4 linked regions of the Caenorhabditis elegans genome follow. The protein of the gene in region 1 purifies or fractionates together with the protein of each later gene. This does not show direct contact. Each region holds a gene or a part of one and is shown on either strand. Other genes may lie near its edges. The genes, in order: hint-1, nex-3, K07C5.2 and pho-8.

Evidence for each region.
Region 2: the proteins of hint-1 (region 1) and nex-3 fractionate together in Caenorhabditis elegans (co-fractionation; one large-scale study listed by BioGRID). This does not show direct contact.
Region 3: the proteins of hint-1 (region 1) and K07C5.2 fractionate together in Caenorhabditis elegans (co-fractionation; one large-scale study listed by BioGRID). This does not show direct contact.
Region 4: the proteins of hint-1 (region 1) and pho-8 fractionate together in Caenorhabditis elegans (co-fractionation; one large-scale study listed by BioGRID). This does not show direct contact.

Annotation. Positions count from the first base shown.
Region 1 is NC_003279.8:7,279,133-7,282,332, reverse strand, and holds hint-1 (Histidine triad nucleotide-binding protein 1), read left to right. Parts: upstream 1-2,005; 5' UTR 2,006-2,021; coding exon 2,022-2,144; intron 2,145-2,188; coding exon 2,189-2,326; intron 2,327-2,400; coding exon 2,401-2,532; 3' UTR 2,533-2,663; downstream 2,664-3,200. Other genes in the region: rde-2 (SH2 domain-containing protein), read left to right, coding at 1-101, 149-247, 366-425, 472-873, 922-1,141, 1,187-1,594, 1,670-1,680; F21C3.7 (Small integral membrane protein), read left to right, coding at 2,724-2,838, 3,009-3,200.
Region 2 is NC_003281.10:4,440,472-4,444,787, forward strand, and holds nex-3 (Annexin), read left to right. Parts: upstream 1-1,609; 5' UTR 1,610-1,621; coding exon 1,622-1,663; intron 1,664-1,706; coding exon 1,707-1,805; intron 1,806-1,876; coding exon 1,877-2,097; intron 2,098-2,533; coding exon 2,534-2,936; intron 2,937-3,261; coding exon 3,262-3,375; intron 3,376-3,573; coding exon 3,574-3,648; 3' UTR 3,649-3,766; downstream 3,767-4,316.
Region 3 is NC_003283.11:10,337,627-10,341,520, forward strand, and holds K07C5.2 (NADP-dependent oxidoreductase domain-containing protein), read left to right. Parts: upstream 1-1,873; 5' UTR 1,874-1,876; coding exon 1,877-2,080; intron 2,081-2,130; coding exon 2,131-2,261; intron 2,262-2,309; coding exon 2,310-2,428; intron 2,429-2,752; coding exon 2,753-3,102; intron 3,103-3,148; coding exon 3,149-3,250; 3' UTR 3,251-3,345; downstream 3,346-3,894. Other genes in the region: arx-2 (Actin-related protein 2), read right to left, coding at 1-160, 207-470, 514-624, 677-724.
Region 4 is NC_003283.11:11,831,638-11,836,228, forward strand, and holds pho-8 (intestinal acid PHOsphatase), read left to right. Parts: upstream 1-1,981; 5' UTR 1,982-2,007; coding exon 2,008-2,187; intron 2,188-2,554; coding exon 2,555-2,647; intron 2,648-2,696; coding exon 2,697-2,852; intron 2,853-3,038; coding exon 3,039-3,458; intron 3,459-3,503; coding exon 3,504-3,623; intron 3,624-3,728; coding exon 3,729-3,863; intron 3,864-3,909; coding exon 3,910-4,014; 3' UTR 4,015-4,071; downstream 4,072-4,591. Other genes in the region: nphp-4 (uncharacterized protein), read right to left, coding at 777-922, 4,321-4,448.

The sequences.
Region 1 (3,200 bases):
ATTTCACCAGTTACGATATTTCCTATGATCATATTATTGACGACTTTAGTCTGATCAAATCATCATGTCAACACTATGATGGACGCAGTTTTATTGTTGAAGTAAGTTATCGATTTTAAAAAAAACTATTAAAATAAAAATATTGCAGGCTCAAGCATCTCTGGCAGGTTGGGTCGCATTGAGTGTGCATGAAGATCCACAAAAGCTACACACCTGTGATGCTGTAAGCCGAAATGGATATCAATCAGTATGTGGCAAAAGTGTCCTGGTTCATTTTGAATTGTTCACATTTTGGTTTTTGCTTATCAAAATTTCCCAGAACATATAAGCCACAACCTCCTGCAGTTTACATAATATAATTTCAGCTCCCGAATCCAGTCGTTGATTCTGATGTACAGTATCTTCATGATACAAGACTGTTGGATGTATGTGACTTATAGTTCAGAATTTTTCAAGTAATCACATTTTTAGATTATGACTGGTAATGGATATGTTCAAACACCCGAAACCGACGTACAAGATCAACAATCAAGTCAACATCAAGAAGACGTGCATTCTCAAATGAACTCGCAGACATCTGATTCGTACAATTCCTCTAGAGTTGTGTCAGAGAATCGGGAAATACCTCCGGAAACTTTTCGAAGCCAAAGTATCGAATTGAATCAAGTTGATTCATCCTTGTCCCAGACTACAATCTCAAGTCGAGCAGCACCAGTTATTGATTCAAATCAGTTATCAGATGAAGATGAAATTGATGATGAAGATACATACGGAACACGTGGAACATCTAATATTCCGATGAGACCGTTTATTAAAGATTTAGCTCCAACGATGCTTCAACTGCTTCGTCAAGATAAAACTGATTCCGAAAAAGTACGTAATGCCAGAACAATAATATTAATCTTCATCACCATATTTCAGCCTCAATCTGCTTTATGCACCGTTGTGCAAAAAATCGATGGCTTTGCAATTTTGTACACAGCCAAAAGAGACGTTATAAACGTTTTGCTTCAAGAAAGATCGTGTGAAGGATTGGAAAGATCCCCTCAACTCGGAGACGTGGCATTCTTCGATATCTTGCCTCGTAGAATTGAAACAAAAGATAGGCTCATTTTCAAGATTCCATATACACATATTGCAGGTATTTTACAATTTACCAATGTTTTAAAAAAACTTTAATTTTAAGTGAAAAAGAAACCAGACACGCCAGATTCTCTCCTTAAAATTGATTGCTTTAAAAACTCGGTCAGATGCTTCGGAGGAGTGCTTGAAATGAAAGTAAAAATCGCACTTTCAAAACCTGAACTAGTAGTGGAGCAATATCATGACAACACAGAGATGAACTCGGATCATCATTTTTATTATTTGAAAGCAACAAATGGAGTACTTGTCACAATTCCAAAAGAACGTCTTCTGAATCATTTGAATTCGAAATTATCAGCAGATTTTGACCTAATCGCGTGGGTTGTTCATCGAAAACCAATTGGAAATGTTTCATTACATATTGGAAAGGGAGGTGAAGCTTATCAACAGTTCACAAATGGAGATATTCGAGAGCTTCCGCCATTGTCTTCTAATCAATATTTCATGAATGGTAAGTAAGAGGGAAACCGAGTTTTCGAAGAAACCTAGGAGAATTCTTGGTTTTCTATTCAAATTATTATTTCAGTTCGAAAGTAAAAACTGCACAATCGACAAATCACGTTATGGGTTCAAATTGTATTCTGGTACATTAATTCTTGTTCTTGTGTTAACTTTTTTGATTATTTTTTGTATCATTTTACTGATTAAAGCATTTATTTTCACATGTTTATTGTTTATTTCTCGTTGTCTAGCGTTTTCATCGTTTGAAATATATTGCATATTGGTTATTTTTTGCCCATTTTTCAATATTTTAGTATGGCTTCCTCTTTGGTTAAAACCGCTTTGCGTCTTGCTTACCGTAATCCAGTTAGGTCAGGGTTACTGTAGGCAAGGTGTCTTTATCGATTCCACCATTTTTCAGGTTTACAAAGAGAAACATGTCGGAAGTAGATAAAGCCCACTTGGCGGCAATTAACAAAGATGTTCAAGCCAACGACACTCTTTTCGGAAAAATAATTCGAAAAGAGATTCCAGCGAAAATCATTTTTGAAGATGATGAGGTATGTAAGATCAGGCAAACGATCACATAAAATATTTATTTAAGGCTCTCGCATTCCATGATGTCTCTCCACAAGCTCCAATTCATTTTCTTGTGATCCCTAAGCGTCGCATTGATATGCTCGAGAATGCCGTTGATTCGGATGCTGCGCTTATTGGAAAGCTTATGGTTACTGCTTCAAAGGTAATTATAAATGAGTAAAAACGAATTTGAAAATCCAGAAATCTCCATTATATTACTCTTAAATAAAATTCCAGGTTGCAAAGCAGCTCGGCATGGCCAATGGATACCGTGTTGTTGTGAACAATGGAAAAGATGGAGCTCAATCAGTTTTCCATCTTCATCTCCACGTTTTGGGAGGACGTCAGCTCCAATGGCCACCTGGATAAATATTGCATTGCTTACATTCTGCCACTAATTCATTATCAGTCTTGTAAACAAATCAGTAAAAAATTATATTTATATTTATTTCCAAAACTATTTTAAACCGTGGCATCATGTTTTTTGAAATAAATGCATTCTTTTTCTTCTATCTGACGTGTTCAATTATTGAAACAATTAATCATTTCTGGTATAAAATATGACGCTGTACGATAAAGTGAAATCAATTCTGACGATTCCTGACAAAAATAGTAACGATTCGATCGTCAACGCAACTGACTTGTACTTGGAGTGGGAGAAAGGAGACGGGCAGTGTAAGTGTCACGTGTTTCAATGGCAAAGAAAGAGTTTTTAAATGTCATGAAATATGAATGTCGCCGGGCCCGGTTAGCTCAGCCGGTAGAGCACCAGACTCTTAATCTGGTTGTCGCGGGTTCGAGCCCCGCATTGGGCTGATCTTTTTGTATAGTTCAATTTTTTTCAGATCTTCTTCCACTCTTATTGATTTTCGTTATCTTCTTTTGCATAACTTGCGGTGTGTTTCAAGCTTTGTTGAGCCTTGTGGTTCTCTGTATCAGAAGCCTTTGCGGATTTGATGAGGAAGATGAAAACTTCAATATCAATGGAAACCACTTTGCTAGAAATTCGACACCTTCTGAACATCACGAGGAAATTG
Region 2 (4,316 bases), on another chromosome or scaffold:
ATTGATCTCAATTGTAATTCACAATAGAAGCCTATACATATCCTAACTAGCATCAATAATGTATAATTCCTTTTCAACCGTGACCATTTCAATTGAATTCGTTCCGAATATCCTCACTTTCTCTTTCAAAGTGTCTGCCAACCTTTTTGAAAAGACACGAAAATGATGATCTGTTCGCATTTGGGCAGGTATTTCACAAGTTTTTGCAATTTTATAGAACTTGGAATTTCAATATATCCGCAGAGCATTTATTTTGCGATTTTTGAGCAGAATTTTAAATAATAAGTTTTCATAATATTCTCAGACCTTTATATTTCTGTCAATTTTCGTGAATAATGTGATAGTGAAACATTCAAATTTCCTCACAAGTGTTCTGTAACAATATTCCCGAAAATTTTCGTGCAAGAATCTATTTTGCAAAAAAAAAAAATCAAAAGTCATATTAGGGGGACGCAAAAAACGCCTTTCGAAATCGAAAATCAATCTCGCCCCAACGCCAATTTTAAACGCTCCGCCCCTAAACATTGGGTCTCGTTAGGTAAAACCGTAAATTCAAGTTTTTTCCACTTTTCTGTTGCTTTTAATATTTCTTTTTAATTTTAAAATTAAGTTAAGAAGTGCATGATATAGTGACATGATATAGTGGGAAGAAAACGGTTTTTGATTCAATTTTAATTTTAATTTTTCATCATTTTTCACGCAAAATTCTAGAAAAATAACGAAAATGTTTGAATTTCCCAGAATACCTTAAAAAATACCAATGACAAATAATAAGCTATAATTTTTTTTGTAGCAAAATTGTTAAATTTTCTAATTGTCAAAGTTAGGAAAGTTTCCCCAAAAATTCTATTTAATTTCGAAATCAAAAGTATTTCAAAATTTCTTTTCTAAAATTCCACTGACTCATCATCACATCTCTTTTCTTTTCGAAGGTCTCTTTTTCGAAAAACCACTCCCTATTTTTGTGGACAATAAAAGTGTTCAGACAGTTTCAAATGACTCATCGCAGTTATTTCGTTCTCAATATATTTCTGCCTTATTTTCGAAGCATAACCAGTTATGAATCTCTTTCAATTTAATTTTATTTCCGTTTAAAAAGTAGGAATCAAAGATGAACTGACGTCAATTTTCCACTATTTTGCAGACTTCTTTTCAATGTTTCACAAATATTTACACTCATTGGTGGACGTAATACTTGAAACTTCCCTACGAAGAAAATAAATAAAAAATATTATCCAACTGCGAAATTACGAGAATCTTGAATTCTGCCAGCCTCATAGGGAGCTATTAGGCGTTTTAGGAAAATTAAAATATTTACTTTAAAAATCCTAAAAAAAATAAATCTGAAACGCTATCAATAAAGCATTCAGAAAGTACTGCACTTCCCACATTCTATAGATTTGCTCATAAAATTTGATGCATTGGCCGTGTTCACACATACTTGATACATCATATTTTACAAGCAAATTCGGTTCACTTTTTCTTTGTACTATATTGAACTGTCGTGTAATCCCTGATCCAAAAGTGCAAAATTCTTTACCACATTCAATTCTCCCATTATCCAAATACCTCAAAAAGTCTACCTGAAATATATACCTCAAAGTTCTAGAAAACCGACATAATGGCAACTGCAAAGATCCATTTCAAGCCGTATTTTGATGAGGTAAGCCTGTGGGAAACTAGTAAAGTTAAGCCGAAAATTGTAGGTTGCCGCCTCGGAGCAACTAGAGAAGGCTCTTAGAAACAAGGAGAAACTGAAGATTTTGGAAATCTTGGTTTCGGTTAATAATACACAGAGACAGATGGTAAGATTTTAATGGTAGGTAGGCATGCCTGCCTACTCACCTGCCTATGTCTAAAAGCTCCATATTTCCAGATCCGCACACCCTACAAAACTCGTTACGGAAAGGATTTGGAAGATGAAATCAAAAAAGCATTTTCTGGAGATTTCGAAGATTTTCTCGTTGCTCTACTTCAAACTCCTACTAAACTAGACGTGACTGAGCTGAATCGATCTGTGAAGGGTCTTGGAACAAATGAGAAAAATTTGATCGAAATTCTGACAACTAGGACTAACGAGGAAATTGAAGCGGCGAAGTTAGTTTTTAAAAAGTTTTTCGAAATTAGAAGCTTGAAGTCAAAACTAAATTTTACAACAACAGAAACAATTGGGAAGTAGGCATGGTATAGACATCAGGCGGGAACGTGAAAACACATAGGTAGGCAGCGATTTGGTGCAGAGTAGGCACTTAGGCAGGCATAAGGTAGGTCCGTGGGTAGACAAACATAACCCAGACAGCACTATGGTTATGAATAAGGCATAGGCAGACAGTCTTGATGTAGGTCCCGAAGCAAGGTATAACGTAGGCACGCAGAAAGGCGGAGATTTCAAAAGTATGAATCAGTCGTAATTCCTGTGCGTAGGCTTTTGAAAGCTAGTTAGGTCTCCCGAAAACGAACCCAATGATAATTTTAAAGTTGTTTTCTAGAAAATGTCCTTAAAAAAATTAATATCAACATATGTTTTTTCTAGAAACACTTACTTCATGACTTACTCCAAATCATTGGAAGATGCAATTTCTGCTGATACTTCTGGAGACTTCCGGCGTCTTCTCATTGTCATTCTCCAAGCAAAACGCGAAGAAGGTGGATTCGCTGATACATTCAAAGTTGGGCCTCACGCTGCTCAAATTCTGAAAAGTTTTGACAAAAAGTCTGGAGTCGAAAAATTCGATGCGTTCAAGATCTTTGCAACATGCAATGGAGCTCATATTCAAAAAGTTATTGAAGAAGTCGAGAGACAATCTGGAAAAGAGTTCCAGAAACTTATTGACAAGGAGCTCAGCGGAGATTTCAAGAATTTGGTGTTGTCTCTTATTGAGACTTCGAGAAATAAGCCTCGATATTTTGCAAATTCGATTCATTTGGCAACCAAGGTAGGTGCAAGATATTTGAAATCTTAGTTCAGAGAAATTTGACTTTAGGTAAATGACAAAAATTTCCTGATTTGATTTAAACATTTATCTTTTTGTTACATGTAGGAACTTTCACAAGTCTACACACATATCGTGCTTAACTTCCTACGTAGGCACGGAAGTAGGCACAGAAGTAAGCAATGTAGTAGGCACGCGTGTAGGCGTAAGGCTTTAGATAAAATTAATCAACTATGAAGATATAGGAAAAGAGTTAAACTAAAGCTGGTAACGCTAAAAACATTCTAGATAAAAACCCTCAAAGTTCAGGAAATATTCATGTTTTCAGGGAATGGGAACACGTGACAAGGATCTTATTCGTATTCTGGTATCCCGATCGGAAAATGATTTGGTGATCATTGAACACGAATTTCAAACTCTTTTTGGAAAACCATTGACTCAGGTGAGCCTATCAAGTAGACTGATATTACCTGCAACGTTTACGCCAAAATGTGTACTGAAAATAGAACAAAAAATATGTTGATATTTCCAAATACAGTTCAAAATACAAATTTCTATTTAAGATCCCCAGAGCGATGTTCGTAATATTTTCTATAGAAAACCATATTGGTTTCTCTTTATAAATTTCATAAAATTGCAGCTAATCAAGGAGGAGTGCAAGGCAGAATACCGTGATGGTTTGACGATGCTTGTCAAGGGAAATCCAAGACCTTAGAAAATGAAATACAAACTATCGATTAAAATGCTTTCTGTTTGAAATTGCTTTACATTGAAACTACTTTATAAAATCTATTTCTAAACGTTTTTATTTTAATAAAAGTTTGAAAAATGACAAGCGACAATTCCAAAAAGTGCTCACAAAGTTTTCTTGAAAATTAGCATTACATGTCCCACGTTCAATGCTGGTCAACATCCCATTATAAATTTCTTATGATTTTCGAGCAGCTGACATCTCCCGAGTCGGTTAGAACAGAACAGGACCTGAAGCAATTGTACCTCAAAACCCCGATTATTAATCGAAATATTTTTCTATAGAATTTCTGATTAGACTCATTTAAAAGTCTGTTAAACTAAATGCAGAAAAATATTTATTTCACTGTAGAACAATGTTTCAATTAATGTGCCAGTCCATAATTTTGGCCATTCTCTGTTTCATCACGAACTCTTGATCTTTTTAAGATTCTCCCCTTGAATCAAATTCAAAAATTTGTTATGTAGCAAAACTGCAGACTATAATTATCCATAAGGTCCCCTCCCGACGCCTTTTCCGTTTCCTTTTAGATTCCATTTCTTTTGTTCTTCATAGTGACCCTCACATGGATCGAAAATTGGCGTGTTCCTCGTTCATCGGCATTCGATTCCTATTCATTCAGGCTCTATTTT
Region 3 (3,894 bases), on another chromosome or scaffold:
TGATAAGATACTTGGTAATATCTCTTCCTGCAATATCCAATCGTCTTGTCAAATGATGAAGAGCAAATCCTTCGTAAACAGGACAGATGTGGGTAACACCATCTCCGGAGTCAACTACAACTCCTGTCAAAAGACCTTGAGCATAAAGAGTGAGCACAGCCTGAAAATATAATCATTATGATTTTATCATGAGGATTAACTATTACCTGAACCGCCACATAGATAGAATTGAATCCATACTGCTCAAACATAACTTGAAACATTTTCTCACGATTGCTGTTCGGATTGAGTGGTGGTTCTGTCAGCAGCAGTTTACACTCTTTCGGGTCGATATCCAACTTTTCCGGTCCAAAAGTATGATCCCATACATGCGCCATATCATCCCAGTTTCTAACAATTCCGTTGTCCATGGGATAATTGATATCAAGCATTTGACGAAGCTGAGAGCACTCCTCGCCAACCATCAAATCCTGTGAGAAAACAGTTATAAGACCTTTCTGTGTAAAGTTTTACCTTAATTTCAATATTTCCAACTCTTTGTGTCGATCTCACGATTGGCCGACCGACCATTGAAGGGAATATATGAGCTGGGAAATTGGTTCCTGCATACCCGCATTTGACGAACTGCAAATACAGAATTTTTGAAAATAAAATGGGATAAAATTTTGCAACTTACACCTGTTCCGTTGTCAACGACAATCACCTTTCGCCCTTGCGAATCCATTTCGCCTGAAAATTGTTAAATCGATTGTGCGGGTTTCGAATGAGTCATAAAGAGAAGAAAAGTAAATAAATAGCAAATTTGCTTGCCAATCGATGAAACCGGTAAAAATTTCGTTTTGACACTGTCTTAGTTGGCTTAAAATAGAACAAAGTACGAACATTTAAGCAATATTTTACATTACTTAGATTTTAATTTAATGAACGAGGGTTTCTGGAAAGTAAATCTGACTATATTTAGTGGAGATCGCCGTCAAAATACGCGGAAGTCGATGGAAAAATGTTTCTACAATTTCGCGAGAATTTTTATGTTCTTCATAGAATACGAAAACAATTATAAGATTAAAATATACAGAAAAGAAATAAGGAAATTCTATTGAAATAAAAACATGACAGTTCTGTCTATAGTGGAGACGCAGGGAATTGGTTGTCGATGGAGCAGATTTGCAGCAAGAGTATCGTAGTGTAAAAACAGATTTAAAAAATCTAAATCATGAACCTTTGTTTTTTTTATTATTTTATTAGTTTTATTTATAACATTTATTTTTATTTACATGTTTACCATATTTATGATTTTTTTTACTTGTGTGATTAGTTTTTGGTAGAAATTTCTGAATATTTATGTAAAAAAACATTTTCAACATCTGTAATAAATAAGTTGCGATATGGATTGTACCGAATTATTTCCACATGAAACATGGCTTTTTATAATAAAGGCTCTTCCTCACATCCAAAATTTTAATTTCTCAGTTAATTTTAAGAAAAATGGGAAGAGACAACATAACAACTAGGATAGGTCATGTGTATATGGTAGTGTTCCTATCGTGATTGGAAATGATCACAATATAACGTCATTCTTCTGTTAATTCAATTTTTCTCTGTTTAGTAAACTTATTGAACTCTAAATACAAACTTCGCAAAGAGAGTGTTTCAATGATCGAACGCTTCGTTCAAAGTCTATGAATTACCATTGAATAGTGTAAATTACAACAAACATCACATCTTAACTTTCAAAAATTGTTCAATGAAACTTCCATTGTTTGTTGAACTGTCCCCCTCCTCCTCTACCTATCTCTTATTTATATTTAATGTCCTCTATTCTTCATTTCTTGCCATTTTTATATTCTTTTATCTCATTTAAATGTATTTTCAGACTATGAGTGTTTTCACAAATGTTGTTGGTGGTGCATTCAAGTTTTCCGATGGATACGAAATGCCAAAAATTGGTCTTGGAATCTCTCGAATTGAAACTCAACAAGATTTAGATGTCTCTATTGAAGCCGCTCTGAAATCTGGATATCGTCAATTTGACACAGCCAATCTCTACAAAAACGAAACGTTTCTTGGTAATTCCCTGAAGGTAAATTTAAACTGATTTCTGAAAAACTATTCAAACCTCTAAAATTTTAGAAATATCTACCACAATTTGGCTTGACACGTGAAGATGTGTTCATCACTACTAAAGTTCGTACTCTCAATGAAAATACTGTGGAGGAAACTGAGAAACAACTAGCCAATTCCCTTGCAACTTTGCAAACCGAGTAGGAAAATATTTGTTGAGTTATCATCAGAATTATTTCTATTTTCAGTTATGTAGATCTTCTTTTAATTCACTATCCACGTGACCGTGATACTGGAAACGATGATGACTACGAAATTAACAAAAGTAGAAGGAAAATTGTTTGGCAGACACTTGAAAAGGCAAAAGGTATGTTGGTTTCATGGTCATTTCATATAAAGTTGAGTTCCTTTTTCAACGTGGTTGGCGTTATCAATTATTTTGAAATAATAGTGGTAGATCAATCCGATCAAAAAAATCATTCTCTCATCTTACTCTAAGAATACTTTTGCAATTGCAATGTAATTAGTAGATTCCAATGTTCAGAAAATTATATTTATAAATGAAACAACCTATGAATTGATGAAGTTCCGTTTTTAGATTTTCTAAGTATAATGTTAGTATTACAACTGAGCAGTTGTGACACTTTACAAAATTCCATCTTTAAAAAAAATTAAAAATTACATTTTTCAGAGTCTGGAAGAGTTCGTTCAATTGGAGTGTCCAACTATGAAGTTTATCATCTCGTTGAAATGTTTGAGTATGCAAAAATTCGTCCAGTCCTCAATCAATACGAATACCAACCGTACTTGACTCGTCCAACTCTTAAAAAGTTCTGTGATCTGAACAATATCGTCGTTCAATCATATTCTTCTCTATGCTGGGGAGATAAAGAAATTCTTCAAGAGAAACCATTGGTCGATCTTTGTCAAAAATACAATCAGACTCCGCAAGCAATTCTCTATGCTTTTGCACACTGCAGTAATACTTCTATGATTCCAAAATCTGCAACTCCATCGAGAATTCACGATAATTTACACAATGTGAGAAACCTGTATTTTCAAACAATTTAGAATAATTTTTTTCCAGACCATAAAAATCAAATTGACCGAGGACGAGCTGAAATCTCTCAGATCTCTGGACAAGGGAAAATCATTCCCACAGATTGGTCAAACTTGGAGATGTCTATAATTTTTTTTCCATCTTAGATTTTCCATATAGGTATTTCTATTCCGATGTTCAGCATTACCTGTTAATTTTTGTATGATATAAACATTATTTAACATAGAACAATTTTTCCATAACTGCATTTTGTCAAATTATTCAGGATAGTTCAGATAGATTCAAAAACTACAGTAGTTCTAGGAATTTTTTCAAAGGAATTTTAGACATATCATCCCGCAAACTTGAAAATATATAATAATAGTACAATTCCTTTTATAAAATTTTAATTCGAAAATAGCTCAGATTTTTATTGGAGTCGTAGTACGGAGACCCGAAGAACTCGGGGGATGTCCAATTGGGGGGATTACCAACTCGGGGGATTGGCCCCGCCCACAGGACCGTGGCTTGCAATACGCCCATTTCTGCAACTGCCGCACGGTTTCGAAACTGTATTTTTCTCAATAGAGCGAGAATTAACAAGAAAAATACAGTTTCAAAACCGTGCGGCAGTTGCAGAAATGGGCGTATTGCAAGCCACGGTTCTGTCGGCGGGGCCAATCCCCCGAGTTGGTAATCCCCCCAGTTGGACATCCCCCGAGTTCTTCGGGTCTCGTAGTACGATTTTTTGATACTACTACAAGATAGAGTTTGTGGTTCCCAAAAATCCGTTT
Region 4 (4,591 bases), on another chromosome or scaffold:
AAATAAGGATTTCTCATATAAGCTTAAATTATACAATATCCAAATAGGTTTATAACCCTAGAAAACGCCATATTCTAAAGGACCTCACTTTGTTTTTTTTTCAAACTATGTAAAATTGAAATCAATTGAGATGAACAGTTTCTATAATATTAATGATTGTTGTAAGAGCTTTAGACTATTCTACCAGGAAAATAGTTGTACTTCGTTATTTTATACATAAACTTCTTCGACAAATTTTTCACACTCTAAGAAGTTGAATATTTTTCATTGACTTATTAGGACTGTCAGGGAAATGCTTAAAGTTCTCGGAAACCAACACAGAGAACACACATACATTTGAGTTGTTCAGTCCATCGGTTTGTTTTCAAATTGAAAAAAAACCTCCTTATAGTCTAAATTTGAATTTTGTTATCTGTTGTTTCTCTGATTCATTTCAAATTTTAATTATTTGCTAGCATGACAATGAATAACAGTAAACAAAAACATTCTTACTGTACACAAATTTTGAAAAAATGTTATTTATTTTAATGTTAGATGTGTTTAGTTTGAACGGATTTTTTACCTTATTCTGAAAGTTGTCTGTTGCATGCTAGCCAAATAAAGAAGTATCATGAAAATCACAGTTTCATGCCCCAAAAAAATTAAATTTAGTGAGCGATTTTGACTTTAAAAAATTCTTGTTATTTTAGTTAAAATAATAGTTTGAAATGTTTGGAAATTACTGTCGATCCAAACTAAAAATCTTTAACATTCAATATTATATAAATTCAACAAACCTTTCTAATAGCTTCATCAGATGATGGAATTTGTATGACAAACTTCTGCGTAATCCGTGGCGCTTCAGACTTTCCGTAAACCAAAAACCCTCGTTCTAACTTCAATGTATTGGTATTCACAACAGAAACGACAAGCTTCTTTGTTCCTGAAACAACACGTGAGGTCATGAAAACGCGGGGGTACTAATCGGATGAGTTTGTGAAATTTGGAATTTTAAATGACTTTGTGGATATTTCTCGCCTGGATGCGCCTAGTTTGCACGTGGAATCAACTATTTTTGCAACTATACTGAACATTTTCTTCATGGCTCTGATGTATGTCTAAGAAGATTAAAATGCAAGGAGAGATAACATTTTTGCGTTTTTTCGACCGTATCAATTTTGTGAGCTTCATTTTTTGGATGTATTTGTTCGTTTTTTGAAATAAATGTACTTATGATCTTTCCTAACTTTCGATTTATTGTCATTTCTTTATCAATATATATATTTCAAACAATTTTTTTGCTGAAAAGCAATATTCGGAACAATTCGATCATAATTGCATTCTGCAAGTTAAAATTGTGTCCCTAATGTAAGTTTCCTGACGACTTAAGAACATGACAATTAAAATTAAGCAATAGATGTATGTAGATTATTTTTTGATTATAATGGGTTGAATAAAAATGTATTCAGTTACATGGATTCAAAGAGTAGTAGTCATAAATAAACTCGCGAGGTGCTAGGTGAGGTAGCATATTCGAAAATACATAACTTTGTAAAAAATGCTAGAAAATACCACAAACATCATCGATAAGCTACCAGCGAATAGAACATTGGCGGGCACTACTGTTTTTTGCTGCACTAAAATTTCAAGACCGATCGACAAAATTCTCCGTATTTGTTTCCAAATTCGGGAACTTCAAACCCAGTATTCGTTTTAGATAAAAAATCATTTTTTTCCGTGGGAGTAAAATGTTAACTGATAACAAAACTTCATACAATTAACAGTCTTTCGACTCCTCCCCACTTTCACTTTCTATTTAAATCCAACTACACCGCACTTTTGCTCTATTTTGGAACATACTCGTCTCAATTTCGACGACGTCAAAAGAATCAGAATTTCCGTCATCAGATAGCGTGCGATTCTTGTATGTAACCTGATAGACCTGCATGAGAACTCGTCCCCTTTTTTGCGACTTTTCTGTCCGGTATTCACTTTTTCAATTTTTTGCAGAGATTTCTAGACGACGTGATGATGTTGATACAAGGACTTGTCATATTTCTTGCCGTGTTCAATAATATAGAATCTAGGAAACTTGAGTTTGTACAAGCACTGTGGCGACATGGAGACCGTGCTCCTCTACACTTACCGTATCCAAATGACCAGTACACAGAAAAAGCTTGGTCAAGGGGATGGGGGCAGTTGACTTCGGTTTGTTTTATTAAACTTTTAAAGAAATGTACTTGTTGAATATTTGTGAGTTCTTACGCGATCTTCTATCATATCACAATAAAATTATAATTACATTTAATTTGTTTCAGCTATAAAGAGTGACCTAAAAAACGGAGCAGAAAAAATGTTTAACATCTCCCAGTGACGCTCAAATAACCAAATATCACAGGAAAAGTGTCAAAATTTTTGGTTATAAATTTTGGATATAGTTTTTTAGAACTGACTATAAATTATGAAAATCTCAAATATCTTATAGTGTTTTAATTAGTTTTTCTGATTGATTTCAAATACACGTTGACAAAACCTTCACTGGCGCTACTTTGCCTTAAAAACCTATTTATTTTAGATTGGAATGCAACAACTTCACGAGCTCGGAGAGTTCTTCCGACACCAATACGTGGACTCTTCATTTATTCCGTCTAATTTTTCAGTGAAAGAAGTAAGAAACTCAATACCATATCTGTAAATTAAACTCTTGAAATTTGTAGGTCTACCTGCGCTCTTCCGATTCTGATCGTGCTTTGGTATCTGCACAAGCATTTCTTTACGGGCTATACCCAGCTTCTGGTGGTTATCAATGGAGCTCAGATATAGACTGGCAACCTCTTCCAGTACATGCATCTACTCCAGGAGAACCTGATTTGGTAACCGTTGATTTTTAGATTTAAACTAAAGTTGTTCTTATGAGGTTTTATCACAAATGCGTCAGAAAGACAAAAGAGATTAGAAAGTACGTAAGAACAACTGATAAAACATTTTGAAGCCCAATTTCTATTTCCGGAGAGTGACTATTCATTATAGACTACATTTACTAAGATAAACTGATTCAGGTGTGCAAACCAACTGCGATAAAATGTGCTCGTCATGAAGTTTTAGTGGCTCAAGGCGATCAAGAATCAAACGCTTATTATAGTGTTAAGTATGCAGACTTCTTCAGTGAACTTTCTCAAACTACAGGATTCAAACACTGTTCATATATGGATATTAATGGATTATTCGATATACAAAGAGAGTTGATTCATAACATGACTGCAAAACAGCCTTATTGGGTTACACAAACCTGGCCTCAATATGACAATCGTACTTCAATGGACATTATAACTGAAATGAGGACCGTTCGAATGATGAATCTATTTAATTCAGAAGAGAAAGGAAAACTTGAAGGAGGCTCCGTTCTTTACAATTGGATTCAAAATGCAATTGCAGTTTCTGAGAGCAGAAATGATCAGAGAATGCTTCTTTATTCTTCGGTAAAATCTAATGGAAACTGAGAAAATCTATTATATTAATTTCAGCATGATGGTGTTCTTCTTGCACTTCTCAATGCATTCCGTGCTTCAAATGAGATGATGGTTCCTTATGCGGCTGCACTTATCATGCATGTTTATTCAGACAACGGAAAATTTTATTCTGAGGTTAGTTGTTCAATTGAAATAAGTTTTATTAGGAAACTTGGTTAACAAAAAATTATTTATATTTTCTTTCAAATTAATGCTGATGGTTCATTTTAATTTATTCAGCTCTACTATCGAAATGAGACTACATCGGATCCATACAGAATTCCGCTTTCCCGATGCCCGGAACCTTGTGAAGTGTCGCAATTGGCAGTGGCTTTTTCAAATATGACAGTTACAAACTACTCGGATATGATGACGGTAAGCATAATCTTCTCATTATAGACCAAAGTTCGCATATTTTCAGTTATGCGGGACTCCTCTCAAAGCATGTGGAAACTCGTCTTACACGTTCAACTCTTTATCATTTTTCTTACCATTTCTCTTAGCGAGTTTATTTTATTCAAAATGAACTAGATCTTAACATTGGTTCCCATGGAACCATTAAATAAATTATTGCTATCTTACATTTTAAATGGTTAATGTTTTATAGAGCAAATTTAGAAAACCCAAAAGAGTTGAGTAAAGATTGACGACAAATATCCTTGGTGTATTTTTCTCTATTTTTGTGTGGAATAACGGTATTGCTCTTTGCACTTTTAGATATTGTAAATAATTTTCTGAACATTTAACGGGTAAATAGAAACGTTTTCATTTTTGATTTGACAGTACGCAAGTGCTCATATGTATATCACATTTTGTTGTATTAAAGGCTTACCAATAAAGTTTGGTGTAAAATCAATTGTGGCTGTAGGTGTTCTTTCAGTGAGCACAGAATCCACAACTTTCATACATCCAGATGCTGTATACACTTTCAGTAAATCATCTGGCACTCCATCATGCTCGCTGAAAATAAACAGATAAAGAACGTAATTCCTATCATTTTGTTTATTGTTCATCTATTCTTCATTTTTTGTGTGTTGTTTTCTTCTGAATCCCCACCAGATGAGAGTGTGGGAGAGAAAAAGAGCGACCAGGTGTTGGAATCC